Linked DNA regions of Mus musculus. The protein of the gene in region 1 purifies or fractionates together with the protein of each later gene. This does not show direct contact. Links are inferred from orthologs where the notes say so. Each region holds a gene or a part of one and is shown in the gene's direction. Other genes may lie near its edges.

The links.
Region 2: the proteins of Kdm5a (region 1) and Morf4l2 purify together in Homo sapiens (affinity purification with mass spectrometry; 4 studies listed by BioGRID and IntAct, with this or other methods). This does not show direct contact. The link is inferred for Mus musculus from reciprocal best matches to the Homo sapiens genes KDM5A and MORF4L2.
Region 3: the proteins of Kdm5a (region 1) and Phf12 purify together in Homo sapiens (affinity purification with mass spectrometry; 3 studies listed by BioGRID and IntAct, with this or other methods). This does not show direct contact. The link is inferred for Mus musculus from reciprocal best matches to the Homo sapiens genes KDM5A and PHF12.
Region 4: the proteins of Kdm5a (region 1) and Zmynd8 purify together in Homo sapiens (affinity purification with mass spectrometry; 3 studies listed by BioGRID and IntAct, with this or other methods). This does not show direct contact. The link is inferred for Mus musculus from reciprocal best matches to the Homo sapiens genes KDM5A and ZMYND8.
Region 5: the proteins of Kdm5a (region 1) and Gatad1 purify together in Homo sapiens (affinity purification with mass spectrometry; 6 studies listed by BioGRID and IntAct, with this or other methods). This does not show direct contact. The link is inferred for Mus musculus from reciprocal best matches to the Homo sapiens genes KDM5A and GATAD1.
Region 6: the proteins of Kdm5a (region 1) and Sin3b purify together in Homo sapiens (affinity purification with mass spectrometry; 4 studies listed by BioGRID and IntAct, with this or other methods). This does not show direct contact. The link is inferred for Mus musculus from reciprocal best matches to the Homo sapiens genes KDM5A and SIN3B.

What each region holds. Positions count from the first base shown.
Region 1 is NC_000072.6:120,436,608-120,441,329, forward strand, and holds part of Kdm5a (lysine-specific demethylase 5A), read left to right. Parts: intron 1-2,379; coding exon 2,380-2,586; 3' UTR 2,587-4,722. UniProt on the Homo sapiens protein: Histone demethylase that specifically demethylates 'Lys-4' of histone H3, thereby playing a central role in histone code. Does not demethylate histone H3 'Lys-9', H3 'Lys-27', H3 'Lys-36', H3 'Lys-79' or H4 'Lys-20'.
Region 2 is NC_000086.7:136,738,108-136,743,441, reverse strand, and holds the start of Morf4l2 (mortality factor 4-like protein 2), read left to right. Parts: upstream 1-2,089; 5' UTR 2,090-2,232; intron 2,233-2,286; exon of another isoform or gene 2,287-2,496; intron 2,497-3,547; 5' UTR 3,548-3,637; intron 3,638-5,334. UniProt on the Homo sapiens protein: Component of the NuA4 histone acetyltransferase complex which is involved in transcriptional activation of select genes principally by acetylation of nucleosomal histone H4 and H2A.
Region 3 is NC_000077.6:77,980,566-77,986,028, forward strand, and holds the start of Phf12 (PHD finger protein 12), read left to right. Parts: upstream 1-2,250; 5' UTR 2,251-2,746; coding exon 2,747-2,812; intron 2,813-3,450; coding exon 3,451-3,632; intron 3,633-5,463.
Region 4 is NC_000068.7:165,804,314-165,809,035, reverse strand, and holds part of Zmynd8 (protein kinase C-binding protein 1), read left to right. Parts: intron 1-1,106; coding exon 1,107-1,517; intron 1,518-3,658; coding exon 3,659-3,849; intron 3,850-4,722. UniProt on the Homo sapiens protein: Chromatin reader that recognizes dual histone modifications such as histone H3.1 dimethylated at 'Lys-36' and histone H4 acetylated at 'Lys-16' (H3.1K36me2-H4K16ac) and histone H3 methylated at 'Lys-4' and histone H4 acetylated at 'Lys-14' (H3K4me1-H3K14ac).
Region 5 is NC_000071.6:3,638,704-3,642,663, reverse strand, and holds the end of Gatad1 (GATA zinc finger domain-containing protein 1), read left to right. Parts: intron 1-1,083; coding exon 1,084-1,274; 3' UTR 1,275-2,703; downstream 2,704-3,960. UniProt on the Homo sapiens protein: Component of some chromatin complex recruited to chromatin sites methylated 'Lys-4' of histone H3 (H3K4me), with a preference for trimethylated form (H3K4me3).
Region 6 is NC_000074.6:72,746,867-72,751,588, forward strand, and holds part of Sin3b (paired amphipathic helix protein Sin3b), read left to right. Parts: intron 1-818; coding exon 819-1,002; intron 1,003-2,852; coding exon 2,853-3,402; intron 3,403-3,569; coding exon 3,570-3,739; intron 3,740-4,722.

The sequences.
Region 1 (4,722 bases):
GAGCTGGGATTAAATGCGCCACTACTGCCCGGCTAATACCGCCTTTCTTATTTGAAAGAAAATAATAGTTTTAGTTTTTAGAAACTTGAAACCAGTGTATACATTGAAAAAAATAGATTTAAAAACCATAGAATTTTCTTTTTGGTAGGTAGCAGATACATCTGACTTAGTAACTTTTTTTTTTAAGATTTATTTATTATATGTAAGTACACTGTAGCTGTCTTCAGACACACCAGAAGAGGGCATCAGATCTCATTACAGATGGTTGTGAGCTACCATGTGGTTGCTGGGATTCGAACTAAGAACCTTCAGAAGAGTAGTCAGTGCTCTTAACCGCTGTCATTCTCCTGGTAACATTTTTTTTACTATTGACTAGTATAAATGAAGACTTGATTCATTTAATAGGCTGTCATTATAAAACAGCATAGGATTTCAAATCCCATACAAAGCTGGTCATTTTTCTAATTCGCTTACAGACTCCAAATACCCAAAACACTCCTCTTCAGCTCCCTTGCAATAGTTGGCATTTATAAGTGCTGACTTTCCTTTATTCTACAGCCTGTTACATCCTAGTTTTTCTCTGGTTACAGCAGGATCTTTTCTTTATTTCTTTGAGCGGGATGGGGGATGTTCTATTTTGTTTGAGACAGGGTTTTCCTATATAGCCCTGGGTGTCCTGGAACTCACCCTGTAGACCAGGCTGGCCTTGAACTCAGAGATCTGCCTGCCTCTGCCTCCTGAGTGCTGAGACTAAAGGTGAGCACTACTAACTACTGCCTGGCTGTTATCAGTTTCATAACTATACTTTTGCTTTCTTCTGAGGCAAAACATGGAATTGAGTTTAGTTGGGAATAATTAAGTTGCTCTGAATTTACAGGAAGCAATATCACAGACAGCAGTGGTCTGAAATACATAGGAATCATCTAGAATGTCTTAAAGTCCACACTTAGTTCTTGGAATATGTACTTTCCTTTGCTTAATAAACTTAAAATTTTGCCACAGTGATCCCAACACTCTGGAGGCTGAGACAAGAGGATCTCAAGTCTGAGCCTGGCAGAGTGCTGTACTGAAAGATGAAGATGAGGCTAACCTAGGCTACATAGTAAGACTGTATGCTTAGGAGGGAACACCTAAAGAATTTAATTACAGGAGGGGAAATGAACAGATATTTAAGAACAATACAAATATTTAAGAATGCTTAGAACAGAAATGATAAAAGATAATAAAAGCCAAATCGCAATATTTTATAATTTTTCCATCCTTTATTATAAACCCAAAACTTACTGACATGACTTGTTTTACAAGCTATGGAAGCATTTTAAAACCACTCACTTTCCCTAAATAAAACGTATTTACCTAGCCAAGGCCTCCTTTGTCCTCTGGCTGTGTTAAGGGACTTCTTTGATCCCTTCATAATTCTTTGCTCCAAGGTCTAATAAAACTTATGATTTTAAGTGCCTTCCTGTATTGCCACCACAGTAACCAGCCTTTGTATTGTGAAGGGGGATGCCCGTAGCCCTATTGTAATGATAGATCTTGTCTGATAGGACATTAAGTATAAGGTTGCCTTCTGAACAGAAAAGCCTGAAGTTGCACTACTTTCCTACTTTACTATTAGCGCCAAGGTTTTAAGTCACCAAACTAAAGCCCTTTTGTGCCCCTCCTAGTCACTGTAGGGTCTGAAGGATCAGTGTTTGCCTGGCATCTGCCGCTGACACCTGTCACTTTCTCAGACTAATTTTAAACCCCAGAGTTAATCTATTGACCTGTGTCTTTGACTGTTGTAATTGGTTAACTTGTAAGATTTGACCTCTGATATTTGCTAACTTTTTATAGGGAGTTGTATTTGTAACGGAAGAAGAGAAGAATAAAAAATAGTAGTTTTAAAAGTGGCCTATGTGACTGCTTTTCTAAAAAGGTATTTAATGCTCTTAGTACTTTGGCTTATCTCTTTGAAATAAAGCTAATCCACAGGATTGCCTCACATTGTTGTCCTCTTCCTTTCTTGATTGTTAATTGCATTATTTTAGAGCCTAGAAATTGTTAATATTAGCTAAAACTACTTGGCTGCTCTATTAGAAATTTCTTTTTTGTTAAGTATTCCCCAATCATGTTTCTGCCTCACAAGGAACCCCAGGTATTCATGAGGGAATGGAGTACCTAAGAGGCCTAATTTTGTGGACACACTATGGTAAAATATAATTTGGGGGTATTAACTTCTCAGCTTCTTTCTTTGAAAAATAACCCCATAAGAAGTCATATCTATCTCTGGATATCCCAGTTGTTTGCTCTTCTAATTCCAAGAAAGTTCTCTGGTTTGCTTTTATTCTGGCCTTACTGTTATGATGCTAAACATCTCCCAATCTTTATCTCCTACAGGTAGACTGGGTACAGTGTGATGGTGGCTGTGATGAGTGGTTTCATCAAGTTTGTGTTGGTGTATCCGCAGAAATGGCTGAAAATGAAGATTACATCTGTATAAACTGTGCAAAGAAGCAGGGGCCAGATAGCCCAGGCCAAGCACCACCTCCTCCCTTCCTAATGAGCTACAAACTACCAATGGAGGATCTTAAAGAGACCAGTTAGCAGATGTCTGGTTAGCTTGCAACATGGGGGGAAGTGGACCACATTGAGACCTTACTCATCAAGCAGAGTGGTTCCGACCACTCAGAATGTTGTTTCCAAAGATGAATGGACTTCAGAAAAAGTCCTCTTAGTGCTGGCTTCCTCTCTGCATGGATTGTGTGGGCTCCATTCTCTTATCATCTGTGCAGAGGATGTCTTCTTTGGTGCAGCAGCCAAGTATTTCAACTCTTGATTCGTTGAGTGTGGTTTGCTGAATTAAGGTCAGGTTCTAATGGAACTCTCAGGAGGCTGTTTGGCATTAATACATTGATGTGCTTAGTGGGGCATATAAGAAGTGGCTTTCGACCAACTGATACTTGTTGTAGACGGTTACAACCTACAGGTGGTGCCATTGGAAGGCCCTGACCGTTTAAATATCCTTAGTTAGGATAATTGGACAGGAGTCAGAGCACAACTTTGTAATTACTGACATTTATGCCCTACTGATCCAGTTAAGAGAAGCAGGCCAAAGTTATCCCTTCTAGAAGTCTTGGAGTGGCAGTGCAGTCTATGACCTCAGCTGCTTGTGTTTATTTAGACCAATAAGAAAATCCTCCAAAAGATCCCCTCACTTTCCTCAGGAGGATGTCAAGCAGGTTAGAATATCTGATTAGACTGGATTCTGGGAAGAAGGGGTTTTTTTTTTGTTTGTTTGTTTGGTTTGGTTTGGTTTTTTCTTACTTCAAGGCAAGTAGGCCATTGGTTTGAGAAGTCCATCTGGGTCTGTGTTTTAGAAAAGAAAGGTAGGTACACAGATCCAGGTTTCTGGAGGGAGTAGGGATGACTAATGAGAATGTTTTACTGAGCCTCGGTGATGCATGCTTATCTGGGAAACCCTCATTCACAAGTATTCCAGACTCCACCATGCTTCACGCATGGCCATGAGCAAGACTGGCAGATAACAGCTTTTGCCTTGCAGCCCTAACCCCAATGCCTGTAGTTTCCAACATGGCCTCAGCAGATATTTGTGAATAACACCATGGCTTCATCAGAGGATGTGGGGCTGTAGGTCCTCTGGGTGTGAAGCTGTTCTAGTAAACCCATTTTTAAAAAGAAAGACTTGTTTTTACTTTTTTCTAAATGTCTCTGACTACTGACTGTTCTATAGATTATTTTTCCTTTTTTGATATACATATATGAATATAGATATATATATATATATTTACTGTTACCAGCAGCGTATGATAGAGTTTGAGCATCAGAAATCCATTTGGAAGCTTGCATTTTCTTTCTGCTTTTTGATAAAGAAATCCCATTCCTTCCTTGTAGTACAAGGAGTTAGCACTTCCTTCTTCATTCTCACCTAAACATATCTTCCACTTTTCTTCTATTCAAATAGATAATATATTTCCTCCATGTTGGGACTTGTCCCTGTCTGTTGGGCAGCTTGGTCTTATTCTAGTCAGTGCTGAATGTTTTGTATGTCTGAAACTATGGTGCTGTGCCCCCCCCCCCTGCCCCTATTGGGTTCTGTGTTCTTACAAAGGTCTTAGGTGGACTCTGTAAACTCCTGCTAGAAGGAGAATAATATATTTTAAAGGACAAAAAGGTTTTCTAAAAATGGTGTTTATCTTCACTATCCTTTGTTCTTTATTTTGGTTTAAGAATCTGCAATTTAACTTAAACTCATCACTTGTCCTGTTAAAGGGGCATTGAGCAAACCTAGGAAGTTTGTAGCCTCTGTTCCCCTTTACTCCAGTCTCTTAAATAAATGTCTTCTAGTAACTAGAAGTGAGATGTACTGTCCAGTTACAGACTGTGTGGGTATGAGGGCTACCTCAAAAGGCATCTTAGGAAAAGAAAAGGTTTTCTTACAAAACCCTTTATCCCAAGTGCTAACCAGGCTTGGCCCTGCTTAGCTTCCAAGGTCAGAGGAGACATACACGTGCAGGTGGTACGGCTATAGGTACAACATCCAATTTCTGAAAATACTTTCTCTGGTTTATACTACCTACTTTTTGGTCTCTTCACTTAATGTTAAGTAACATATCTTGACCAGTTATGTTGTTTGAATGTGTTGCTGTGCTTGTATCTTGAATTTCCATCTCAATGTGAGTGTGAGCTAAGATTTCAGTAATGGTTACAAGGTTAATTAAG
Region 2 (5,334 bases), on another chromosome or scaffold:
CAGAACCACTACATAAACCTGAGGGGCCAACACACGTACCTGATAAAAATTTCAAGAGGGGAAAAAAGTGAGCAAAAAGAATATTCTTTCATTGGTTTATTTATGTAGTGACGGGGCCTCAATATGTAATCTAAGCTGGCCTTTAATTTGCGGCCCTTCTTCCTCCCAAGCGCTGATACTGCGGCTGCGCCACAGCTCACGAAGGGTTTTAGCATCAGAATTTAGGCCCATTTATCAATCCTGAGAAAAAACAAAAGATGTGCCAGAACAGGTGACTTTTTTTTTTTTTTTTTTTTTTGCTTAAGGAAATTAACCAGAATTTTCGGATATATAATTCCTTGCCTAGTACTGTTACTTCACAGAACTTGATCTTATTCATCTTTAGGAATTTAAGATATATATATGAGTCAGCCAGAGATTAGGGAGCCCATAAAATAAGAAGTGGGTGGAGCAAAAAAATCAATCTCACAATCCCTGGGAACCAAGCAGTAACTCCTTTGGCTGGGATTTGGTGACATCTAGCGGCAGATTCAAGAGGTTTACTGCTCAGCCAGTGAACTTTCTGGAAAATTGGCCGAATGTGTATTTGATCACTCCGCTTGGAGATTAGGAAAAAAGGTAGGTGAGGCTCACCACCCACAGGAAACTGGAGTTGTCTCTATCACTGGGGAATTTAGTTGCCTATGTTTTCATTAAAATTTTGTGTGCCAATTTAGCGATAAACCTGGTGAGGGGGCATAAGGGAGATTCGCAGTAAATTTGGTGAAGGGCAAAGGGGAGGCCTTGGGGACAGAGAGGAGGGGGTGTACAACTGGAAACTTGAAAGAAACGCCCTTTTACGTTACTAATATAGTTCTGAATCTTAACCATGGAAGAAGTTTATTTTGGTGGACTATAATGTGGGAATAATGATCATCTCTAGGGTCTAAAATTAAATCGGACTGGGTGGAGTGGCGCATGCTTTTAATCCCAGCGCTCGAAGGCCGTGAAGGGACAGGTGGATCTCCGAGTTCCAGGCCAGCCAGGGCTACCTAGTTACAACAGGCCTCAAAAACAAACAAAAAAACGAAAAAAGGCAAAGAAAAGAAAGGAATTTGATTAAATCGGCAGGCCTTTTCTTACAGAAGCCCTTTCCTTTAGATACTAGCACTGTCCTAGTTATTCTCAGTTTTATTAATGCAGTTTGCAAACATAAAAAAGGCAGAAAAATCCACCAAAATGAGGGACCTCGCCTACGCTCACGCGCGCGCGCGCACACACACACACACACACACACACACACACACTCACACACGGCCCCTCCCGTCCCCACCAGGGCAGCACGCCTGCGCACACCCATCATCGCCAGCGCCACGAGGGCGGCTGTGCGCCCACACCCACACTCCACAGCCACGCGAGCCTGCCTGCGCCCGCGTGCGCGCAGACACCCCGTTTCTCCAAAGCATCCAGGCATCCGCCCAGTGGCACTCACCACCCTCACACGCCTCACACCTCAAAACCTTCACCATTCCTTTGCCTTTGGTTTTTTTGGGGGGGCGTTGGTGTTTTTTTTTCCTCTCTCCCCAGGTCCGCGAGTTGCGCAACAGGCTCGGGGGCGTGGCCCCGGGTCTGCCCTCGCTCTTCCCACTCGCGGGAACCTTAGCTCATTTCCGCCTAGCCTGTTTCCGCCAGCCACGTCGGCACTTCCTTTCCCAGCGGGGCGGGGGCGGGGGAGGGGAGCGGACCCACAAACCCATAATGCCTCCCTGCAGGAGAGAAGGCGAGCGCGAGGGGGGGAAAAAAAAAACCCACGGTCAGGGGAACTCTGGGTCGTGAAGACGGGCCACGTGAACGCGCTGCCCTATAGACTTCTGACCCAACGGCTGGAGCGCACTTGGAGGGCGGGCTAAGATCCTAAAAGAACCATCGCCATTGGCGGGAGCCCTCACTGAAGAAGGATGCTAATTGGTTTGCAGTCGGCCCTAAGCATGAAGAAGCAGGTTGCTAGCACCCGCCTTTACTGCGGCTGAGTGTCACTGCTGACGTGGGGGCGGCTGTCCAATCATCTGGGTATGGAACATTCTAAAACTCAGACAAGACGGCTAGGATTGGCTGATGGGCTAAGCCCGCCTCCAGGGTGACGTGTCTGCCTATGGATATCAGTTGCCAGAGAAACCTGGCTTTACTATGGCGGTTGGAGGAGCAGCAGTGATCACACGTCGGCTGCTGGAGAGAGCTGGATTCTCGTTTCAGGTTTCGGGGTGGGGGTGGGGAGGAAGGGTAGATGATTTCCTCTTTTCTTCTTGACTTATGGATAGGATTAACTCGTGCCTTCTCATTCAGGAAAAGCGGAATTCGTATTCCTGCTCGCCAACGCCCAGCTTGGGCAAGGCTCTTTTCTGTGTCTCGGTTTCCATGTTTGTAAAATGGTAATAGTAGCTATCTCAGACGCGGATTCAGATGTGCCTAGTAAAATAGTGCGTGTGAGGCATTCGGTGTGAAGCCTGTCCCCGAAAGGTAGTAGCAATTGTTACTAAAGATATTTCTAGAGGCGATGAAAAATTTTAAATTACGCAAATTTGCTCGATATCGTATCTTTTTCTGTACATCATCCTCTTTCTTAGAAGAAATTATGACGACAGGCATTTATTAAGCCTTCCTGATAAAAATAATTGCTAGCTCATAATTGCTAATAGAATGTGGGGGTCGGAATTTTCCCACATTAAGTCAAAAAGAAAAAGGATGTAGGGGGGGAAAGCGATTGAGAACGACCTCCTGAAGCACATGCGAGGAGTAGGCCTTGTTTGAATCCTGATTCGAGCACACCAATTGTAAAATTTTCTTGAAGACGTATCGGGGATTTTTAAATGCAGGATTAATATTCTTCAATGAAATCGGTGTCAAATTATTAATTTTTTTAATGCTTATGGTGGCGATGTGGTTCTGTTTTCAGAATGCTTTATTTTGTGGAAAGAAATAGAAATGCTTAGGGATTAAATGATGTCAGAAAATGGCTTCAAAATCCATGGATGACTAGGGTCTGCTTCAGGATAATTTCAGCGATAGACAGCGAGGGGAGGGGTATCATCAGGACCCTAGATTAATCATTTAAAGTGAGGGGTGGGCAGATGGGGTTTCCTGGATTTGTCTTTTTTTCCCATGGTATATATTTGAAATATTCTGGAATTCTGAAGTCATTTTTTTCCCGATAGCTTAAAAAACCGTGGGGGGGGGAGCAGTGGGTGGGGTTACAGATGAAACAAGATGGCCTTCAGTTGGTAATTGTTGGAGCTGGATGAAGGATTCGCAGCCGTTTGTACTGCTGTTCTTTTACAATTTTATTTATTTCACATTATCCTTAATAGAAATTAATTAATTTTTTTCCAAAATTGATAAACATACAAGAAAGTACATTTATCTGAAAATAAAACTACAAGAAAAATAGAATTTCTACATTATCAGCTTTGATGTCCTTTGTGTGAGATAAAATTTTATTTACTGATGGAAAGGAAAGTCACCATCTCATATCTTTTTATGTCCTTTTCCATCTCTTTGTTTGACCTTCTAGGTCATCATCAGAAAAGCTAAGTTTGCTATACAGTAAGGATCAGGAGATCTGACCCTGGTTGCAGAACCATTCCTGGTTGCAGAATACAGGGTAAGTGCCTTCCTTCTGGCCTCAGTTTACAGACCAGCTATATCACAACCTTCTTAGATGTGTAGCAGTATTTTGAAGATTAATAAGCTGCCATCTGAGAAAGTGCTTTAAATTCTGAAAAGGGAAGGATAAACAATATAGTCATGCGTAATCTTATTCTCTTAATTAAAAATTAGTGCTCTATGAAGGCTTCACACTTCCAAATATTACATTATTTTTCTCTACAGCAAATACAGATTTGATGGATTTGATTGCTGGCTCTTCGACTTTCTGTGTAATTCTGAGCAAGAAACTTCCTTTGTTCCAAGATGTCTTCATAAAAGTATTTCCTGTAATAATACTTATATGGCTTTAATAGTCATGAAACATTTTATGTATATATAAAAGCACATTTTTGTAGAGAAATAAATAATATTTTCTTGGAATTATTTTTTTAATTAATATTGTTGGTTTCTCTCATTTTCCAGAAGCAGCCATTAACTACTAGGACTGACTTCTGAAATTAAGACTTCTGGTTTTTCCAATCAATCTTTAAAAAATAGCTTTAAGGCTATTTCCTTATGAGGAAATTTCCAAGAACTATAATTTTAGCTACCATATCCAGCATGCTAAGCAATCTTTATGTAATTTTCCTCCTTTGTTCAGACTGGAGACCATCAGTTGGGTTGCGAGTGTAGCCCAGTTGGTAAAGTTGCTTCCCCAGCATACATGGAGCTCCAGGTTTGAATCACCAGCACTGCCCAGACCAGGCCCAGACAGTGGCACATGCTTACAATCTATTAGAGGATAGAGGCAGGGGGGTCAGAAGGTCAAGGTTGACCTCAGCTATCTAGGAAGTTTGCATCTAGCCTGGGATATGAGATCTTTCCTCAATGTTCATTTTTTTAGACATGTAGAATGTTCCAGTATCCATATGAGAAAGCTGATATGTACTTGATTTTAGGCAGAGACCAAGAGATGAAAACATGGTCTAATTAATGTGCCCCCCTCACTTTTAAAGGGCTTGTGACACACACAAAAGTACAATTGGAGTCTGGTTACATGAACCTATGAAAGGAAGGGGTGTGCCTCAGTCTCTTCACAGCGACATTTTTAAAGGAATTCTATAATTGCCTTAATTTCTCTCCTTTGTAAGGACTGTGTTTAAGGGGAAGGCAGTTTCCTGGCAGAGAGGCAATTTAGAGAATAAGTGAGAGTTGATCCATAGTAGATCTATAGATACTGGCAAAGCAGAGGCCAGAGAGATCTGAAATGGGAAAGCCTCAAAGAGAAGGCCCTTGCCTTGGACCTTTGGGACTATCTGAGTACAGTGGTACTGAAGTAAAAGGTGAAAGGATGTAAAATCCATGAATGACCACATCACAAAAATTCATGAATCAGATATATGGCTCAGGGTTTTTTGTTTTTCTCATTTCCCCCTTGTTCTCTCTACAGTCAGTCACTAATTTTCTTCATTTCCTTCTAGATGACCTAACTAAAATCTTGCCTAAAATGTGTACAGATGTGTATAAAAGTTGTTTTATGATTTTCTTTGTATAAACTAAGGTGTTGATATATAACTAGCTATGTTTATTTAACAAATAGTCTTTGAATGTCTTTGTTCCTTCATAGATCTAACTTTTGTGGTATTTCTTTCACAGTGACAGTCCTTTAGCTGAGATGATATTCCAAATTATGAGTATATCACATTTAATCAA
Region 3 (5,463 bases), on another chromosome or scaffold:
TCCTCTGTCAACAGAGCCAATCTCATTTTCCTCACTATCCCACTGCCCGCTCCTGTTTTCAGCTGCAATGGATGTGTTGACCAAAGCACAAAGCCTCACTCATGGGGCGTGTGCCAGTGGCTTACTTCTCTGTCCAGTAATACCTCCAGGCTGACATAGCAGCACAGCTGTGCTATGGTAGTAGGAAGGAAGCCAGTAAAAGAGGGCATATGAGGTTCCAGCTTCTGAGGTTATGTAGCAGGAAGGAGGCATAAAGCCTGGCTTCTTCCCTTCAAGGAGCCTAGCTCAGCTCTCTCCTCTGAGAGTCACACCGCAGTTCTTTCCTATAGCTGCTAGTCTATTGTTGGCCATAGCAACGGAAGAGCAGCCAGTTTGCATGCATTCTTCACTTCCCCATAACGTTATTCTTTCTAGGCACTAATACAGGGCCGAGAGAGAGAGAGAGAGAGAGAGAGAGAGAGAGAGAGAGAGAGGCAGAGAGACAAAGAGAGAGAGAGCACTAAAACTTCACAAAGCACTAAAACTTCACACAGATATTTATATCCCCTTTGACTTACAGTCCTGACTGTCCTAAAAGAAGGAGCAATAGTTTCTCAGAGACAGTAAACACGGTGTAGGGGACAAAGTCTGACCTGTGAATCAAGAAATGTTTCCTTTTTAGGTTTGCTATAAACTCAATATGCGTCTAAGCAAACCACTCTCCACTCTGTACCTGGAAATGAAGAATTTAAATCAAATAGTCTCTAAGTCCCTCCCAGGTTTACGGGTCTGAGAATAATGTGTGTAGTAACATAAAAATGAGTTTAGGAGATTCCAGGCGTAGTAGCACACGTCGATCCCAGAAATGGGACCGGAGGCAGAAGCAGTCGGATTTCTGTGAGTTCATGACCTATCTAGTCTACATAACAAGTTCTAGGGCTGCGGAGTAAGACTGTCTTAACAGAACGAACAAACGAAAGAAAGAAACGGCAGGACATAGCTGCATGTCACCAGTGTTAATTAATGCCTAGTGGGGTTCATTCATTCGCAATTAGGCAGAGTATCTGTCCATATTGGAAAGTGATAACAAGGGCATAACAGCGCACACCCAAAGAGAGGTATGTCTCTCTGCTCAGAATGCGAGGTGAGGGGCTCAAACTACAAACCCCAGTGTGCAATACGGCAGCTCTCAAAAGTATCCTTTCCCGGCAGGCTTTTCTTCGTGTACATCCTATGGTCCAGTGCAGCGCCTGAAGGCTGAACTACAACTCCCACAATCCATCAGATCCATCGCGAGTCTAACTACCAGAGTGCAAAGCGGTCCCGTTCACCCTTTGAACTCTGCGCGTTGCAAGATGGGGATTGAAGTCAGCTGTAGGCAGGTAGCTGGGCGTTGTCAGGATTACGGACTGTTTGGGCTTTTGACTTCCTCTTTCGGAGTAGTTCACAGGGACAGTGGTTAAGAGAGGGTAAGAACAGCTTGAAATATCTTGGGTTCCATCGGGACCCAAGGCAGCAATGCTCGTGCTAAAATTAGGTGCTGAGAGTGGAAATGAAGTGGAAAGAGCAGTCATCCGATCTGCCACCAAAAGCGTCTTTTTTTTTTTTTTTTTTTGTCGCAATGCTTTTTTTTTCCCTCTTTACCAATATGGCGGCCTAGTCCAGACACACCTGACACTGGAGACAAACAGTCCACTACACCATCCATATGGGTACTGCTGCAGCCGAAAGCTACCAGCTCCATACAGCATCCCACGCTCCTCCTTGGTCGTGACTGAGGACTCCAAGGGCATGGTAGCCCCAAATCTCATTACCAAAATGGCGAAAGGAGAAGCTTTTTTTTTTTTTTTTTTTTTTTGTGCAGGCCTCCAGGTACAACGCGCCTGCGCGTGAGGCGGCTGTGTGAGGGGACGGGAGGGTGGCGACCCAACACGCCTGCGCGGGACCAGAGCCCGTGGTCCGCACACAAACACCAATGGGTGATGCGTCTTCCAGTTCCTGCGGCTGCGCCGTGACCCCTACGCGCTTTCCCAGGCGCCTAAGCGAGGCCTCAGGTTCCGCCCTCCAATCGCAGTACGCCGGCGCACGGCGGAGAGGCGGGGCTTCTGGGCTCCGGGCGAATGCCAGCGCGGCTGCGCGCCGGGGGGTACCCCATCACCGCGGCTGCGCGGGAGCCAGGCCGCCGGCTGTCACTGCGGTTGCGCGCGGCGAGCGGCGATCCCGGGGCGCCTGCGCGGGTGGCTTTGCGGGCGCTCGCGGTAAGTTTGCGCCAAGTGCGCGGCAGCCGGGACGCAGACGGCAGCGGCGGCGAGAGGCGGAGCCCGGGGACCACCCCCCATCATCCTCCCCAGAGTCACCTCACGAACCACAACCTCACCTAACCTCTCACCCCCCCCTCCGGTCCCCCAAGCCCGGGATGGCAGCGCCCGCTAGCCTTCCCGGCCGGACCAGCGGTCGCCAGCGCCAGCTTTAGCCTGTGGGCCTAGGCCCCCGCCGAGGCCTGACCCCCGGAGCCGGGATCCACTGTGCAGCCAGCCGCTGGGCCGGGGCTGAGGGGTTGCTCCCCTCTCGCGGCCCGTGGGGAGGACGCTGCCGTCCCAGGGACTGGGGGCCGGGGGGTGGGGGGGAGCCAGGGCGAGGAAGTCGGAACCTGTGTTGGGAAGAGAGAAGGGGACCGGGGGTCAGAGGTGCCCCCTTCCCCTCCTCCCCCCTCCCCCCGGGGCTGGGGGGGCCGGAGCAGAGAGCGCCCAGCCCGAGAGGTGGATGAATGTGGGAGAAAATGGAGACCAAGACGATCGTGTACGACTTGGACACGTCGGGGGGGCTGATGGAGGTAAGAGTGGCCCTCATCCTTTTCCCCCCAGTGCCAGGAGGGTACCTCCGCCCCACAAAGCCGGCCCTAAGCTCGAAGCGCCAGAGGGCCGGGAAAAGGGGGGGTTGTTCTTCCTCACCCAGTCTCTTCCTCCCCTCTTTGCAATTTGGGGGACTGAGCTTAGCTTCCGAGGACGTCTGCAGCAGTTTCACCTACCAGCCGCCCTCGATTCGCTCCCTGAGGCTTCAGCCCACTCCATTTCATTGCACCGGCAGGCCTCCCCACCCCCTTCTTGTCGGCCCCTTTGTGCTTCCCCCTGCACGTCCGGGTACCAAGCTTCGGGCCTCTCCCGAGCCGGGCTTTGGAGTCCCCCACTGTCCATACAAGGAAGTGGCAAGAAGAGAACCGCGCACCCTCTCCCCATCCCCCTACCCTGGTCCTCCCCATTTGGAAGGAGCTTTTCTTGTTGTGCTGCAGGAACGCAGTTAGGGTGGGCTCCCCTTGATTCCGGGGACCGAGAGGTTCTGGAAGCAGCCTGGATGGGAGGAAGAAGGACAAAAGGGGGAAGAGGGGTGGGTGACGGAGAAGCGGCGCCGGTGGGACTACGGGCTACCCGGGAGCTCCGAATGTGCACACATGCCGTCTGTATGTGTGTGCAGCAAATCCAAGCTCTGCTGGCTCCCCCCAAGACGGACGAGGCAGAAAAGCGGAGTCGGAAGCCCGAGAAGGAGTCCCGGAGAAGCGGCAGGGCCACCAACCACGACAGCTGCGATAGCTGCAAGGAAGGTGGGGATCTCTTGTGCTGCGATCACTGCCCTGCCGCCTTCCACCTCCAGTGCTGGTAAGGGCTGGGGACCCCTTTGGAGCCCCTTGGCAGACCCTACTCAGCACATTCCTTCACCAGGCCTGTAGAAATAACGGGAGCTTGCAGCCGCTAGCCGACTCTCTAGTCGCTGGGGCGAGCGCCTCTGCGCCCTTGGTATTTGCCGGGATCCGGCCAATTTGCGGGAAGGAGCAGCGGCGTGTCTTGACCCCGGGATGGGGGTTGGGAGGAGTGAGGTGAGCCCCATCTGAGATTGGTTGTAGGTTGGGAGCCGGGACTGAGCGGCCGAGTGCGGCCGGCGGCGGCGGCGGCGGCGGCGGCGGGGGAGGAAGGGGAGGAGCTCCAGGTCCAGTGCCGCTTGGCGGCCGCGCGCGCCCGCCGCCCTTAGGGCTCCTGCCTGGCTGGGCTCTCCTTGGGCTTAATGCGCGGAGCCTCGGCCACCCAGTTAACCCTGGTCCTGACTCAGGAGAGCGGGTGCTTACGATGGTGCAGGAAATCATGAATGGTGTCTCTCAAGACCACTTCTCTGCCTCTGTGTTTACAATATGGCGACCTGCCTTTAAATTATATTTTTATTCTCAGCGCCATTTTGGCTGCATATATGATTTGCAAACGTCTTCGGGAGAACGGTGGAGGTAGCCCATGAGCCCTTTCTGCAGAAGCTTCTTGAGGACCAGGGCTAGGCTCTGCAGGCTTGATCCCTTTCTCTGCATCTTGCCCCCTGTTGCCACTCCGGTGCTGCCTCCCTCCTCCCCCTTCCCTCCTCCCTACTCCGCTGCTGCCTCTTAGGAAATCGGGCCGGGTTAGACAATTAAAATTGCCCTTGGGCGCCGATTTCTCTTCTCTGCTCTGGTTCAGCGAGCCCTTCGCCTCAAAATTCTTTGCTGCTGGGGCAGGATTGTGTTCGGTGGCTCCGGAAAGGCAGTTTTAAGCAGCTGAGAGCTGGAAAGCTGTGAGCTCTCCCACCCCAACTGAAGGGGGTGGGGGTGGGGCTGGGTTGATCACCCGCTGCGCTGCTTGATCCTTCTCAGCCGCTCAGCCCAGAGCACTCCTGCAAAAGAGTTTAAACTATCTTCTGCCAGAAGATCACCTTTCTGCCCTGCACACAAACCCCACATCTCTACTTTGAACCCAGATAGCCTCTTGTTCTGTTCAGCAACAGTTGACCCGAGGCTAGTGCTTGGGAGAAGATGGCTCCTGGGGTGGGGTAGGGGGGTTGTTCGTTCCCATTCTGATTGGAAAGGAGGGGTTCCTGTTCTTTGTTTTGTGCCGCCCTTTTTAGCTTCTTGTTTTTAAAAAGGTGTATGAGGGCTCTCTCCTCAGTTCCACCTACATTCCGAAATCCCTTGGTTTGTGTGGAATAGAGCCTGATGTATTTGTACTTAGATGGCTGATACTGGGCAAAGTAGGACTGTGGTCAGAAGTTATGTGGGACATTCCTATTTCTAACTCCAAGACACTTTTGCTTATAAGGGCACCCCACCTTGGCTTTTAATGTTTCAAGGACAAAAGTTACTATCCTGGAGGAAGCTTTGCCGCTGGCCTTTGCTTTTTTTTTTTTTTTTTTTTTTTTTTGTGATGGAGTGAGTAAGGCGGCAGTGAGGGCCTGTGGGTTTTGTTGTTGGCCTCTACTTCCTCTAAAGTGTGATCCACCTGGAGGAAACCCCTCTGGTCCAGTTTCCTTTGCTGTTCTTTTCTATTTGGGATGTAGGAGGGCCCAGCTTGGCCTTGAGCTCACAATCATCCTCCTGCCTTGGCCTCCAAAGTGTGCATCATTGTACCCTGTTCTTGAGTCTGCGCTGCTTACTTTTTTATTTGATATATTACTAGGACTTTTAAATTTCTTCTC
Region 4 (4,722 bases), on another chromosome or scaffold:
TCTGCAGCTGCTACCATCTTCCCTTTTTCATTTTATTTTTTAAAGATTTATTTAATCTAAGTACACTAATGCACCAGAAGAGGGCATCAGATCTCATGATCTGATCATGATGATGGTTGTGAGCCACCACGTGTTTGCTGGGATTTGAACTCGGGACCTTCGGAAGAACAGTCAGTGTGCTCTTAAGTACTGAGCCATCTCTCCAGGCTCCCCCCACACCCCCAATCTCCTCTTTATAAGTAAGTTCAGTATACTGTGCAGCTTCTCCACTGACTTCCCGTCCCGCCCACAGCCCTCCAAACTTAAGCCCAGGTCATTGCAGTCGAATAGTGCCCCTGAGCTACATCCCCAGCCCCCAACTTAACGCTTTTAAGAAAACTTTAAAAAGCCAGGTATGGTGGCGCATGCCTTTAATCCCAGCACATGGGAGGCAGAGGCAGGCGGATCTCTGAGTTCAAGGCCAGCCTGGTCTACAGAGCAAGTTCCAGGACAGCCAGGGCTACACAGAGAAAGCCTGTCTAGGGAAAAAGGGGGCTTAGACTTGACCATTGTAGGATAGGAAATTCAGCATTGTTTGCTATCCATGAAGGGCTGCGCAGACACATCCAGAATGCAGGCTAGGCTGGGCCGAAGGTGTTAACAGAAGGTTCTCTGGCCTGGGGCTGAATTCCTTTGTTAAATGTCTAGGTCGCCCCTCCCAGTGGCTTTGTCAAAGGGGAAAGTAGATTTGGTGTGCACACCTTTTGACAGCCAGTTGCTTTTGCCAAGAGCTCCTCCTGGGGAAGAAGGGCTGCAGTTAGGCAGTCTCCATTACCCACAGCCTGGGCCACTAGTTAATTACTGCTCAGCATGGGGGCTGGGTCTTGCTCTCTTCTTCCCCCAGAAGGCTTGTGACTTCTCCATCTGGGATATTAGTTTGTGCTCAGTAAGGCATAATTCATAGCTGTTGCAGAGACCATGCTTGTCCTTGGGGCTCCAGGGGCCCTCTAAATTCCTTCAGGCAGTCTGCCTCTGCTGGGTTTGACCTAGAACTTGGCCTGCCATGTGAAGTCCCAGCTCAGGAAGCCAATCCAGTTTCTGCTTGTTTCCACCCTGCCTGGCTGTAGCTATAGGTAAACCGCCACCGTCGTCCACTTCGGCGGGCAACCAGTCTCCCCCAGAGACACCGGTACTCACCCGCTCAGCCACCCAAGCACCCGCGGCTGGGGTCACCGTGGCCGCCGCCACCACCAGCACGATGTCTACCGTCACAGTCACGGCACCGGCCACCGCCGTCACGGGAAGCCCGGTGAAGAAGCAGAGGCCGCTCTTACCGAAGGAGACTGTCCCAGCTGTGCAGCGGGTCGTGTGGAACGCATCAAGTAAGTTTCAAACGTCCTCCCAAAAGTGGCACATGCAGAAGATACAGCGCCAGCAGCAGCAGCAGCAACAACAACAGCAGAGCCAACAGCAGAGCCAGCAGCAGCAGCCTCAGTCTTCCCAGGGGACGAGATATCAGACCAGACAGGCTGTGAAAGGTACCGCGCCCCCTTCTGTTCTCTGTGGCGCCCACCCCCTTTTTGCCACACTAACAGGAGAAAGGCCACCCTTGTTGAATTTTTCCCCTACATCCCTATGTGTCATGGTCACCGCAGGCCTTATCATCCCATATGGAATTATTTTTTTAAAAACTGGCTTGCTAGCACTATTTGCCTGATTTTTTTTTTTAAAGATTTTTTTTTATTCTGTTTTATAAGTGATACGTGTTTCCTCTTTACAGAGGGGACAGGATATGTGTGTAGAATTCAGAATGCTCAATGTGGGCCCATTCGCTGTCCCTGTCATTGTCCACCCTTCTGTGACAATCATTTGTTGTCCTTATGCCTCTCCCAGTGCATGCCTATACGTTTGTTTTTATACCATATAATATTATACCATAAAATATTGTCTTTTTTCTTTCTTTCTTTCTTTTTTTTTAAAGCAAAAATGGTACCATTCTTGATTTTTTTTTTCCCCCTTCCCTCCCACCCATCAGCATGTTTTAGAGGTCTGTCTGTGTCTTATCCTTTTGGACTGCTGCATAGTATTCCCTAGTTCATTTAAGGTGTTCACCTGCTGGTGGGCATTGAGGATGCTTTTAGTTTTTCCCATTGTAAGATATGCTGCAATGACTATGTCTTGTGAGCATCTGGGAATCTCCAGGCGTTTTGTGGGAAAGTCTTTAGAGTGTGAGGAATCGGTAGGGGGGACAGTTTCCTTCCAAACCCCTGCCAAGGTGAGCCGGCCTCTGAGAACTCAGTGCTGGAGGCCAGTCTCTGTCCTGCAGCTGATGGCTCCGCTCAATTGTCTGAACCCAGCTTCAGGAGCACTAATGTGGGTCTGGTTTCTTGGGGCAAAGGAGCTTCCTTCACACTCGCTCTGTCCTTCCCCCATGCTCCCAGAGCTCATCCCAGTGAGGTAACAGGTCAGTCACAGGGACACTTTCAGGGACTCAAGGCCAGGTGGCTGGAGAAGGCCTGAAAAGCTGGACAGGTCTAGAGTGAGCTCTCAAGTACTGCAGTGGACATGGGATTAGGGCAACCCCTTGTTGGATTCTGTTTCTATCTAAGGCTGTCTCCTGCAGATAGGGTAGGTGGCTGCAATGCCAGGACCTGGTGGCAGTAGGGTCCTCAGCTTCCAGATAGTCCTGTGTCAGGTTGTAAGGCTTATTGCAACTGGGAAGGGCCAGTTTTAATCAGTAAAGCAGCGGAGACAGACTTGACGCAGTGGTTACTCCCTCAACACGCCTTATATATAGCCTGCTGGGTCAGACTTTGATCAGCAGAGGCTCCTGTAACCACCAGTGATTAAAATGGCCAAGTAGTGGCTTTACTCTCTTCATACCACATTGCCTTTTTAGCCGCTGTGGCAAGGACTGACTTCAATGAGCGTGGTACTGTTTTGCCACCAATTAAAACGAAAGGCGTTGATTTTAATGAGCGCTGTGCTGACGGATCGGTAAAGTTATTGGGTCACGGGTATAGTTGCGTAGAATGCTCACCCAGCATGCACAGAGCTCCGGGTTAAGTTCCCAACACTGCAAACACCAAAGATGTCAAGGGCTGAGATTTTAATGAGTGACAGACTCTTACTCCCTTCAGGCAGGAAGTGATTTTAATTAGTAGGACACTGGGTCTGTCATACCTGAGGAAGGGGTCCAGGGTGACTGGTGCAGGGGTGGCTGGCACTTTCAAAGGTAGAAAGGGCTCAGGCCTTGTAATGAAAGCCAGAGGGTCTGTTTGTGAAGCTGTCCGGGTTTGCCAATGAATGGCCAAAGTTCTTACCTTCTCATAGAGATGGAAAGACAGAGGTTTCACGTCTTCAGATGTTGGCTGCATCCAGCTGTTAAGTCCTTCTGGTAGCCTGGTGCTTCAAGGCTCGATTAAGTCCCCTAAACTGAACAGCCTTGAGTTAGCTCCTGAAGATGATTGCTTAGGTCTTTGTAGTGCAAGGTTGGCGCCTAGTGGAGAAGAGAGCTCAGAGGAGCCAGGCTCGAGCTTGGGCAAGGTGAGACACTGGCATTCGTAGTTCAAACGCTGGCTAGGGGAAGCTATAAGAAGACTTCCCTCCCTCGCCCCGGCTGTTTGCTGGGATGTGCTTTTCTGTATGGGTGGAGTGACCCGACCCTTTGCTTTCTTAGCTGTCCAGCAGAAGGAGGTCACCCAGAGCCCATCCACGTCCACCATCACGCTGGTGACCAGCACACAGCCGGCAGCCCTGGTCAGCAGTTCGGGCTCAGCAAGCACCCTGGCGTCTGCAATCAATGCCGACCTTCCCATTGCCACCGCCTCGGCCGACGTGGCCGCAGACATTGCCAAGTACACCAGCAAAGTAAGTGGGTTGGTGCTGCGGCTGGGGTGGGGTTGTTGGGGCCCTGGCTTGGTAGTTTGTAAAAAAGGCTAAGTTGCAGGCTTTAACAAAGGGTCTCCAAGGACAATTTACATTTGAGTCTTGAGTTAGATAGTTTCATCTATCATGGCTAAACCAGGGTTTGGGATACTGCTACACAAGTGCTGTAACCCTGCATTGTGTCTCCAGCGCCATTCTGTTTTATTTTGAGGCAGGGTCTGCCTCTGGAGTCTAGGCTGGCCTTGAAGAGCTCCTAAGTATCTGAGATTGCAGGTGTGTGGCTACCATCCCCCACCTGGCTTGGCTGTCTTGGAACTTGGCTCTGTAGACTAGAGCTGGCTTTGAACTCACAGAGATCCGCCCCCCTCTGCCTCCTGAGCGAGGGGACTAAAGGCCTGTGCCACTGCCACCCAGCAGGTTAGTTAATAGAAAACTGTGGACTGGTGGTGCGCCGATTTCTCTTGGGGAGGTGAACACTGGTCTGTTTGGCTTGCCCAGAGAAGGGACGCTGAACCAGAGTGAGAGACTCCATTGTCACACCAGCACGATGACATGCCAGGGACTTAAGAGGGGCTCCTGGGTCCCCTCCTTAAGTCATCCACTCTCTCGGGCTCAGGGTTCAGTCCCTGCTGGTGGCCTGGCATGTAGGATGGCCTGCTATGTGTAAACTTGGCAGACTCTCTCAGTTGGGCAAGTCCTTGAATGAGCGCGGTTGACTAAAACACGCACCTTGGTGTTGTGGAGGCCGCTGCTGTGTCCTGAGGGTGGTAGTCGGTGGTAGTCGAGGTATGGTGGTGACCCCTGGGGCTCCTTTGGCTGTTGGCTTGTCCCTAAGGATGGGGCTGATGCCTGGGT
Region 5 (3,960 bases), on another chromosome or scaffold:
ACTAACATGATATGGGTAAGAAATGTTTGCGTGTCCCAAGCCTAAACTGTATGACAAGAATCACATAGGAACCTAGGTTATATAGGGGACCTATTCAATTTTCAAAAACAATTTCTAAAAGAACTTTCATAATTATTTCTATAAAAACCTTTCTCAGTATACATCCTTCTACACAGCATACGCGATATCTTAGTCTAAAAAAAATCACTGTTGATGGTTGAAATGGCATACTGTACTCATTTCACTGTTGATGGTTGAAATGGCATACTGTACTCATTTCAAGGCATTCAAAAGACTGAGTACAACTAGTTCTTGACAGACTCGTAAAAATGACTGGCCTAGTGTCATTTTGAAAGTTCAGTTATTTTGTACTGTCATTCTTTCTGAATTGGGCATGCGTTTGTTTTGCATCAAAAAGGAAGTGGCATTTCTTCTTAGTGATAACCCTAAAGATAGCCAATATCCCATGTTATTCTCACTCACTGTCAAGCTTGTTGTATGACCAGATGACTGTCTTGTGTCTACAAGTCTGGAACACCAGAGGCCATGATGCTCTGAATGATTTCTAGGCTCCCCTCTCCCGTTTCATGGTCCTCAGTGTGGATGCTTCCCTGACTAGATGGTGTGCCAGCCGGAGCTCAAGCTCTGGACCAGACTACTGGTTTCATAGCCCCTCCACTTGCCTGCTAATTAAGGAACTTCACCAGGCCTTAATCTGTCTTTCCTCAGCGTGCCTGTATGTGCTATTGGAAGAAATAGAGCCCCATGCGGAAGTTGTGAGGACTCCAAGTGTGGGTGTATGTACAGTTCTTAGAACAGTACAGGCACTTCCTAAACGACACGAATACTCAATATCTTAGGATCCTTTCTTAGTTGAGCACTCTGTGGGAGGATGCTGAATGCCTTAATCAGTTGAAGTAGAGTAAATAATGGAGTGTGATTTCAGAGTAGTGCATGTTCCGAGGTAACAGCAGCTAGGTCATCTAAGAGTGCTGCTGCTGAAGTGTCTAAGATTGCTAACATTTTACAAAGAAGATACCTGTGTTCAAAACTGTACTTAACATTTCCCTGGCTGCCCCTTAGGGCCAGAGGAAGATCTTCCAAGGAAGATGGAGTACCTGGAATTTGTCTGCCACGCGCCTTCTGAGTATTTCAAGTCAAGGTCCTCACCATTTCCCACGGTTCCCACCCGACCGGAGAAGGGCTACATATGGACTCACGTTGGACCTACTCCTGCGATAACTATTAAGGAAACAGTTGCCAACCACTTGTAGTTACAAAACCAAACCTGGGACATACTTACTTCGCAGGTATAAAGCCTCAGTTTTAACCCTAGAACACACACATCCCAAAATAAAGCCAGGTTTCCAGTTTCCTTCTATTTATAATATAACAAGATATGCCACACTCATTTCTCTTTATAAACCTTTTTCTCTAAGTTCTTGAGATAGGGTCTCATGTATAGCCCAGGTTCAGGTTGGCTTGGCCTTGAGATCCCTGCCTCGTCTGCCTTGTGTGACAGGTGTGTTATGTAGGTAGTTAACGCCAGAACTTCTTCATGAAGTTCTTACCTGGAAACAGGACTTGAGAAAAATGTTACCTACTACCCAGTAGTTGTATTACCTGCTTAGTGCCTGTTGCTTAGAAAATCACAGGGTGAAAAAAGAATGAATTGAAGTGAAATAATAAATTTAATATGTATTTTCCCAGGCAAAGTGGCAGATTCCAGGGAAATCATTATAAACATGTAGTGTCTATTTTTCTTTATAATTTATTTCTATGAACTCATAAAATGAATTACATTTTTATTGGTGTAAAACACTAAGTTTTAGATTTCTCTCTTTTATTCTCTCTCTTCTCTCTGCCTCTGTCTCTCTCTACTTTTCTTTTCTGTTTTTTTTTTTTTTTTTTTTTTTAACCTAGAATCTCACTCTGTACTCCTGGCTGTCCTACTCATTCTGTAGACCAGACTGGCATTGAACTCAAGAGATCTGCTTGCTTCTGCTTCCCAAGTACTGGGACTAAAGGTGTGCGCCGCCATGCCAGGCTTAAGTTTTAGATTTCTGATCAAGAACTAAACCAAAATGTGAGCAGTATGTCTTACAAAGCCACAGTCTTCTCTCTCGAAGCAGACCTTGGCTGCTTTAGTCCTGTAGAAAGCAGCTGCTGGGTGATGGGTTAGCTCTGGCTCTTCACACTGATCTCACACCAGAGCGGTCAGCCACTTCTGTAGACCTGCCTTTGCCTGTCAGCATCAGCTGCTTCAGCCAGATCTTTGATCTGCATGCAGCATCCCCTCCTCTTACTGAGGCAGCAGCCTCTGTGAGAGTGGCCTGACGATTGCTAAGGCAGGGACTGAAAGGTCATTAGTTTTGATAGTCAAAAAACTCAAACCCAGACCATGTGCTGGAAATTTGGATGGTGTGCTTTGGTTGTATGATGGGGGAGTGGGCAGGTACCCACTTGCTGCCTCTGTCCTCATCTATCCAGACAGACCGTTTTAACTATAGGAATTTATGAGAATTTGACTTGATCTTAATGATTTTCATCAAAACTCTTTTACCCTTTTTCTTTAGTCCCAAAGTTGGAAAAAAGCACCTTCGTGCTTACATAAGGTATAATAAAGTTCATTGGAAATACTATTGAAAATGATTTTCTAAATGCTAATATTCCAGTTTTTGATTAAAAAATATTTCTACAGTGGGTTTATTTTGGATTTTTAAATACTTAAAAAGGAAATGGGATGCTTCCCCCAAGATGGTATGAAATAGAAATATCCATCTTTTGGTTACATGGCTCATCGTACAGTGAAGAGTCACACAGTGCTACCGAGGGGCACAGGCTTTAAATTAACCGGTTGACCTTTAGGGGAGATTTGCTGTCCTCAAGGCACAGCATATTTCCCGTGTGCTGTGGGAGGCTGTGCTGCTCGGGTTTCTGTTTTAGGCTGGAGGACAGTTTTTTTAGAGTTTAGAAAGAGAAACTGCATATTAGTTCCCTATCAGATTTAGGATAGGTAAAGATCCTTTCCCAATTTGTTGGTGGCCTTTTTGTCTTATTGACAGTGTTTTTTGCCTTCCAGAAGCTTTGCAATTTTATGAGGTCCCATTTGTCAATTCTTGATCTTACAGCACAAGCCATTGATGTTCTGTTTAGGAATTTTTCCCCTGTGCCCTATCTTTGAGGCTTTCTCCCAATTTCTCCTCTATTAATTTCAGTGTCTCTGGTCTTATGTGGAGGTCTTTGATCCACTTAGACTTGAGCTTTGTACAAGGAGATAAGAATGGATCAATTCGCATTCTTCTACATGATAACCGCCAGTTGTGCCAGCACTATTTGTTGAAAATGCTGTCTTTTTTTTTTCCACTGGATGGTTTTAGCTCCCTTGTCAAAGATCAAGTGACCATAGGTGTGTGGGTTCATCTCTGGGTCTTCAATTCTGTTCCATTGGTCTACCTGTCTGTCACTGTACCAGTACCATGCAGTTTTTATCACAATTGCTCTGTAGTACAGCTTAATGTCAGGCATGGTGATTCCACCAGAGGTTCTTTTATTGTTGAGAATAGTTTTTGCTATCCTAGGTTTTTCATTTTTCCAGATGAATTTGCAAATTGCCCTTTCTATCTCAGTGAAGAATTGAGTTGGAATTTTGATGGGGATTGCTTTGAATCTGTAGATTGCTTTTGGCAGGATAGCCATTTTTACTATATTGATCCTGCCGATCCATGAGCATGGGAGATCTTTCCATCTTCTGAGATCTTCAATTTCTGAGCTCAAGAGGCTGGACTCCAGAAATTCAAATAACCCCATTAAAAATGGGGTTCAGAGCTAAACAAAGAATTCTCAACAGAGGAATACCGAATGACTGAGAAGCCCCTGAAAAAATGTTCAACATCCTTAATCATCAGGGAAATGCAAATCAAAACAATCCTGAGATTCCATCTCACACCAGTCAGAATG
Region 6 (4,722 bases), on another chromosome or scaffold:
TGACTTACAGCGCCTGTGGCAGTACATGTGCTTCAGTGTCCCACTTAGGTCTGGTTGAGACCTGGGATTCAAAGTGTGGATTATGACCGAAACACAAGGATCCCTAGCCCACTGTCTATTGGCATGCCATGAAGCCCTGTGCTAGCCCACAGGTTTGAGCTGTGATGCTCAGCGGGGTTAGTGTCAGAGCTGTGTGGGCTGCTGGGTGTCTGGGAGGAGCTGGAGGACTTTAACCAGCCACTGCTGGAGAGCTGGCTAGCATTTAGGAGCACTGCTGCTCTTCCAGAGGACCCTGTCCAATTCCCAGCACCCACATGGTGGCTCACAGCTGTCTGTAACCACAGGGTCACCATATGCATGTGGTATACACATGCACATGAAATAATAAATACAAAAATTTTTTAAGTAGCCATGTTGGCTCTGTAGGACCACTTCCCCTTTCTTCCCCCTCTCTGTGGGAGGTGTTTGTTTTGTTTTCTTTTGTTTATTTTGGTGATGGGGTCTTATGTAGCTCAGACTGGCATCGGACTTAACCATGTGCCCAGGGAGCCTTCTGACTCCAGTTCCTCAAGTGCTGGGATGACATTCTTGCACCACCATGCCAGGCTCTTTTTTTTTGTTGTTTTGTTTTTGAGATGAGGCTTTCTTACTGTAACCCAGGCCAGCTAGAACTGGATATCCTTCTGCCTTAACCTCCCTCATGCTGGCTTGCTTGTTGCCACGTAGACCAAATGTGTAATTGCTATGAGGAAGCTGGGCCCTTCTCCAGGGGTCACAGGAGGGTCCAGCTGTTAGGCACTGAGCCCCTCTCCCTACAGGCTGAAGGCCAAGGAGGAGGAGTGGCGGGAGGCCCAGCAGGGCTTCAACAAGATCTGGCGTGAGCAGTACGAGAAAGCATACCTCAAGTCCCTGGACCACCAGGCTGTGAACTTCAAGCAGAATGACACCAAGGCACTGCGCTCTAAGAGCCTGCTCAATGAGATCGAAAGTGTCTATGATGAGGTGAGGCATGCTGGGCAGGGACTACCAATCTCCTCACACCTGAACCCACACCATGCTTGCCTTAGTGATGGGGAAACTGAGGTATGAAAGGAGCTGCTTGCTAGACGTTTCCTGGGCTTTCTCTGCTGCACCTAAGTCATTCAGAGGTCAGAGGTGTGCTAGCCCTTAGAGCTAGAGATGCAGGTAGGTGTCTGTGAGCTACTGGAAATCCAGAACAGCAAGCACCTTTAACTGCTGAGCCATCTCTGCAGTTCCCATGGCCTGACCTTTGAAGGCAGAAGTGGTAGTGTGGGGTAAGAACACTTGCCTAATTTGAGGCCTAGGTTAAAAGTTGAGGTAACCACATGGGAAAAAAAGAGTTTTGAGGTGTCCATATATTACTAAATCAGTCTCCATTCCTATGACAAGCATGTGAGAGACACCGTTCAAAAGAAGAAAGCTAGTGTTGGCTCATGAGTTTAGAAATTTCAGCCCAGAGCTGCCTTAGCTCCTCCATTGCTTAGGCTCTAGCAAGATGGGAACATGAGATCTCAGGACAGGCACAGGAAGCCTGCGCAGCTTCCCAATAATACCTGTTAGGGAGCTACTCTTGTGTCATCTGTCCATGAGCCCTCTCAGTGGGATTGGCTCTACCAAGGAGGAGTAAGCCCTTTGGACACTTGTATCCAGATTCTAATTTGCCCTTGTGCTGTGATAAGCTCCATGACCAAAGGTAACATGGGGAGGAAAGGGTTGATTTCGCCTTCGGGTTCATCTTCAGAGCTGTCAGGGCAGGAACTTGAGGCAGGAGCTAAGAAATGCCCCATGAGCCAACCTGATGCAGGCAGTTCCTCCCATGGCTCCTCTTTCCAAATGGCCCAGCTGACAAAGCACAGTGGCCTGAACAAAACAAGGGTCTTGGAAGGTCAGAGGAGTCCCAGGCTGTGTTGAGGCACTGTAGTAGCTAGGTCATTGAGCCCACTCTGGCCATGGGTCTCTAAAGTACTGAGTTGAGCTTCCTGGTCTTCAGTTAGGGAGTGTGATCTACAAACTGACAGACTGGATCCTGCCAGAGATGGTGTTTGAGGGACCCCCAGAAGCTCACCGTGCACTGACCATGAGAGCTGAGAAGATACTCAGCCCTGTCTAAAGAGACAGTGTCTGGAGTTGGTGCTGCCATCGACCGAGGGCCTAAGTGCAAAGACAGCTCCTTGGGTTGAGGGAGGATCAAGTAGTGGTCACCTTTGAGTTTGGGAATGCCATTATCCACATCAACATTAAGGGGTGGTGTATGGGAAAGAGGTTCACCTGGACATGCTCAGAGGCCTTGTACACAGCAGAAAGGAGCTCAACCCAAGAGATGACTGCAGACACTAGGCTGAGGGCTAAGGTCTCTAAGAACCTGGGGGAAATCTCCCCCACCCCTCATTTCTTGTTGGTTAAGGAGCTAGGCAGGTGGTAAGCTGTTTTAATGGAATGGGGGCGGCACCAAGAGCCCTGTGGAGTAGTGGAACTGAGTGAGTGACAGATGGCTGAAGGCTCCTGGGCCACTCTGAACTCTGAGCCTCACCTTATGGAGACCTTACTCCTTAGCCAGGTCTGTGGGAAGTCTCTCCTTTCATTACAGTCCTCTAGTGCTAACATCCACCTGCAGTGAGAGGGCCTTGGTTTGCCCAGTTGAGAGCTGTAGACTGGCTGGGAGCTGGACCCTACCAGGGCAGCTGTGACACTGTGAGAAAGGTTGGATAGATAACCCTATTCCTTCGGTGTGTGCCAAGATCACTCATCCTTTCTAAGGAGGCTGGAGGTTATGCTGGAAGTGGGGCTTGGGTGATGGGCAGGCCATGCCCGCTGACTGCCACCCTTTGCAGCACCAGGAGCAGCACTCAGAGGGCCGCAGTGCGCCTTCCAGCGAGCCGCACCTTATCTTCGTGTATGAGGACCGACAGATCCTAGAGGACGCAGCAGCACTCATCAGCTACTATGTTAAGCGGCAGCCAGCCATTCAGAAAGAGGACCAGGGCACTATCCGCCAGCTGCTTCACCGTTTCCTGCCCAGCCTGTTCTTCTCGCAGCAGTGCCCCGGCACCTCCGATGACTCTGCTGATGAGCGCGACCGGGACCGGGACAGCGCTGAGCCTGAGCGCCGCCGGCCCACAGATGAGAAGCCCCCTGCAGATGCATCTCCAGAACCGCCCAAGGTCCTGGACGATGTGTACAGTCTGTTTTTTGCCAACAACAACTGGTACTTCTTCCTGCGGCTGCACCAGACGCTGTGCGCCCGCCTGCTCAAGATCTACCGGCAGGCGCAGAAGCAGCTGCTGGAACATCGACGAGAGCAGGAGAGGGAGCAGCTGCTGTGCGAGGGCCGCCGTGAGAAGGCTGCAGACCCTGCCATGGAGCTGCGACTCAAGCAGCCTAGTGAGTGCCTGGGCTGAGTGAGGCTCTGGGCTAGCCTCTGTCCCTTTAGGCCACTTTAATGGAGGGTGGTGGTGGACCAGGGATAGGGCCTCCTTAGCAAGTCCTTCTTAGGGAGTCCGGGCTGCTGCTTTCAGCAAGAGATTCAAGTGACCACCCTCCTTCCCCAGGTGAAGTGGAGCTGGAGGAGTACTACCCGGCCTTCCTGGACATGGTGCGGAGCCTGCTAGAGGGGAGCATCGACCCCACACAGTATGAGGACACTCTCCGTGAGATGTTCACCATCCATGCCTACATTGGCTTCACTATGGACAAGCTAGTGCAGAACATTGCCCGCCAGGTGAGGCTGGTCAGGGGAGGGCAGGATCAGGGGAGCTCTCCTGTCACCTTGGAAACTGGTCCTTTCAACACAGGGTCCACACAGCAAGTCTATACTTTTGTTTCAGTGAGGTGAAATTCACACAACAGAATTAACCCTTTAAAGTGCATCCATAGTTCATAGCATTTAGCACTGTAGCCATCTCTTAAGTCCATCCCTATACCCCACCTGTTCTAACATGCAAAATGAGAGTCCTGGCCCAAAGCTGCGCCATCTGGGGAAATGTCTTCTGAGCCCAGTCAGTCACAGGAAGTGCTTTAGAAAGCTGTTACGTCCCAGGGCTTAATGACCTTCTTATTATGTATATTTATCCATTTATGTGTGCATAGACGTGACAGCCGTGCAGTCAGGATGCCTGCAGGATGGGCCTCTCTGCTTCCCCTGTGTGGGTCCAGGGACAGAGCTCTCAGCTCAGGCTGTCAGGCTTGCCTGCAAGTGCCTTCTCCTGCTGAACCATCACACTGGCCCCAAGAACTTATTTGCCTATCCTTTATGGTGCTAGGCATGGAGACCAGGGCCTGTTGTAAAGTACATAAACAGAAAGTGCTTAGGCCTCCAGGGGCCACTCAGGGTGTTTTGATGAGCAAACCTTCCTCACCCTGACTCTGCATAGAGGTTTCAAGCTGTGTGGAAGTAGCTGCATGCTGGCAGTGACTGCTCTTCATCCCTGTGTCTGCTGGGTCACATCTGCAATGGGCTCTGACTTGCTATGGGGCAGTGGCGTCTACTAGTGGTCGGTGAGGTCACACCCACAGTGGCTCATGGTCTGACCTCTTGTGACCACTGTGGGATGTTTGGATGTCCTGTCCCTGAGGGGAGCCAGAGAGCCTGACTTGCACCATGTTGCTCTTCAGCCCACCCTGCCCAGCGTATCACAGCCAGCAGTTGATATGGCCTCCCCCAATACTTCTCTTTAAGCACCTCAGCTTTGTATGTATGATCCA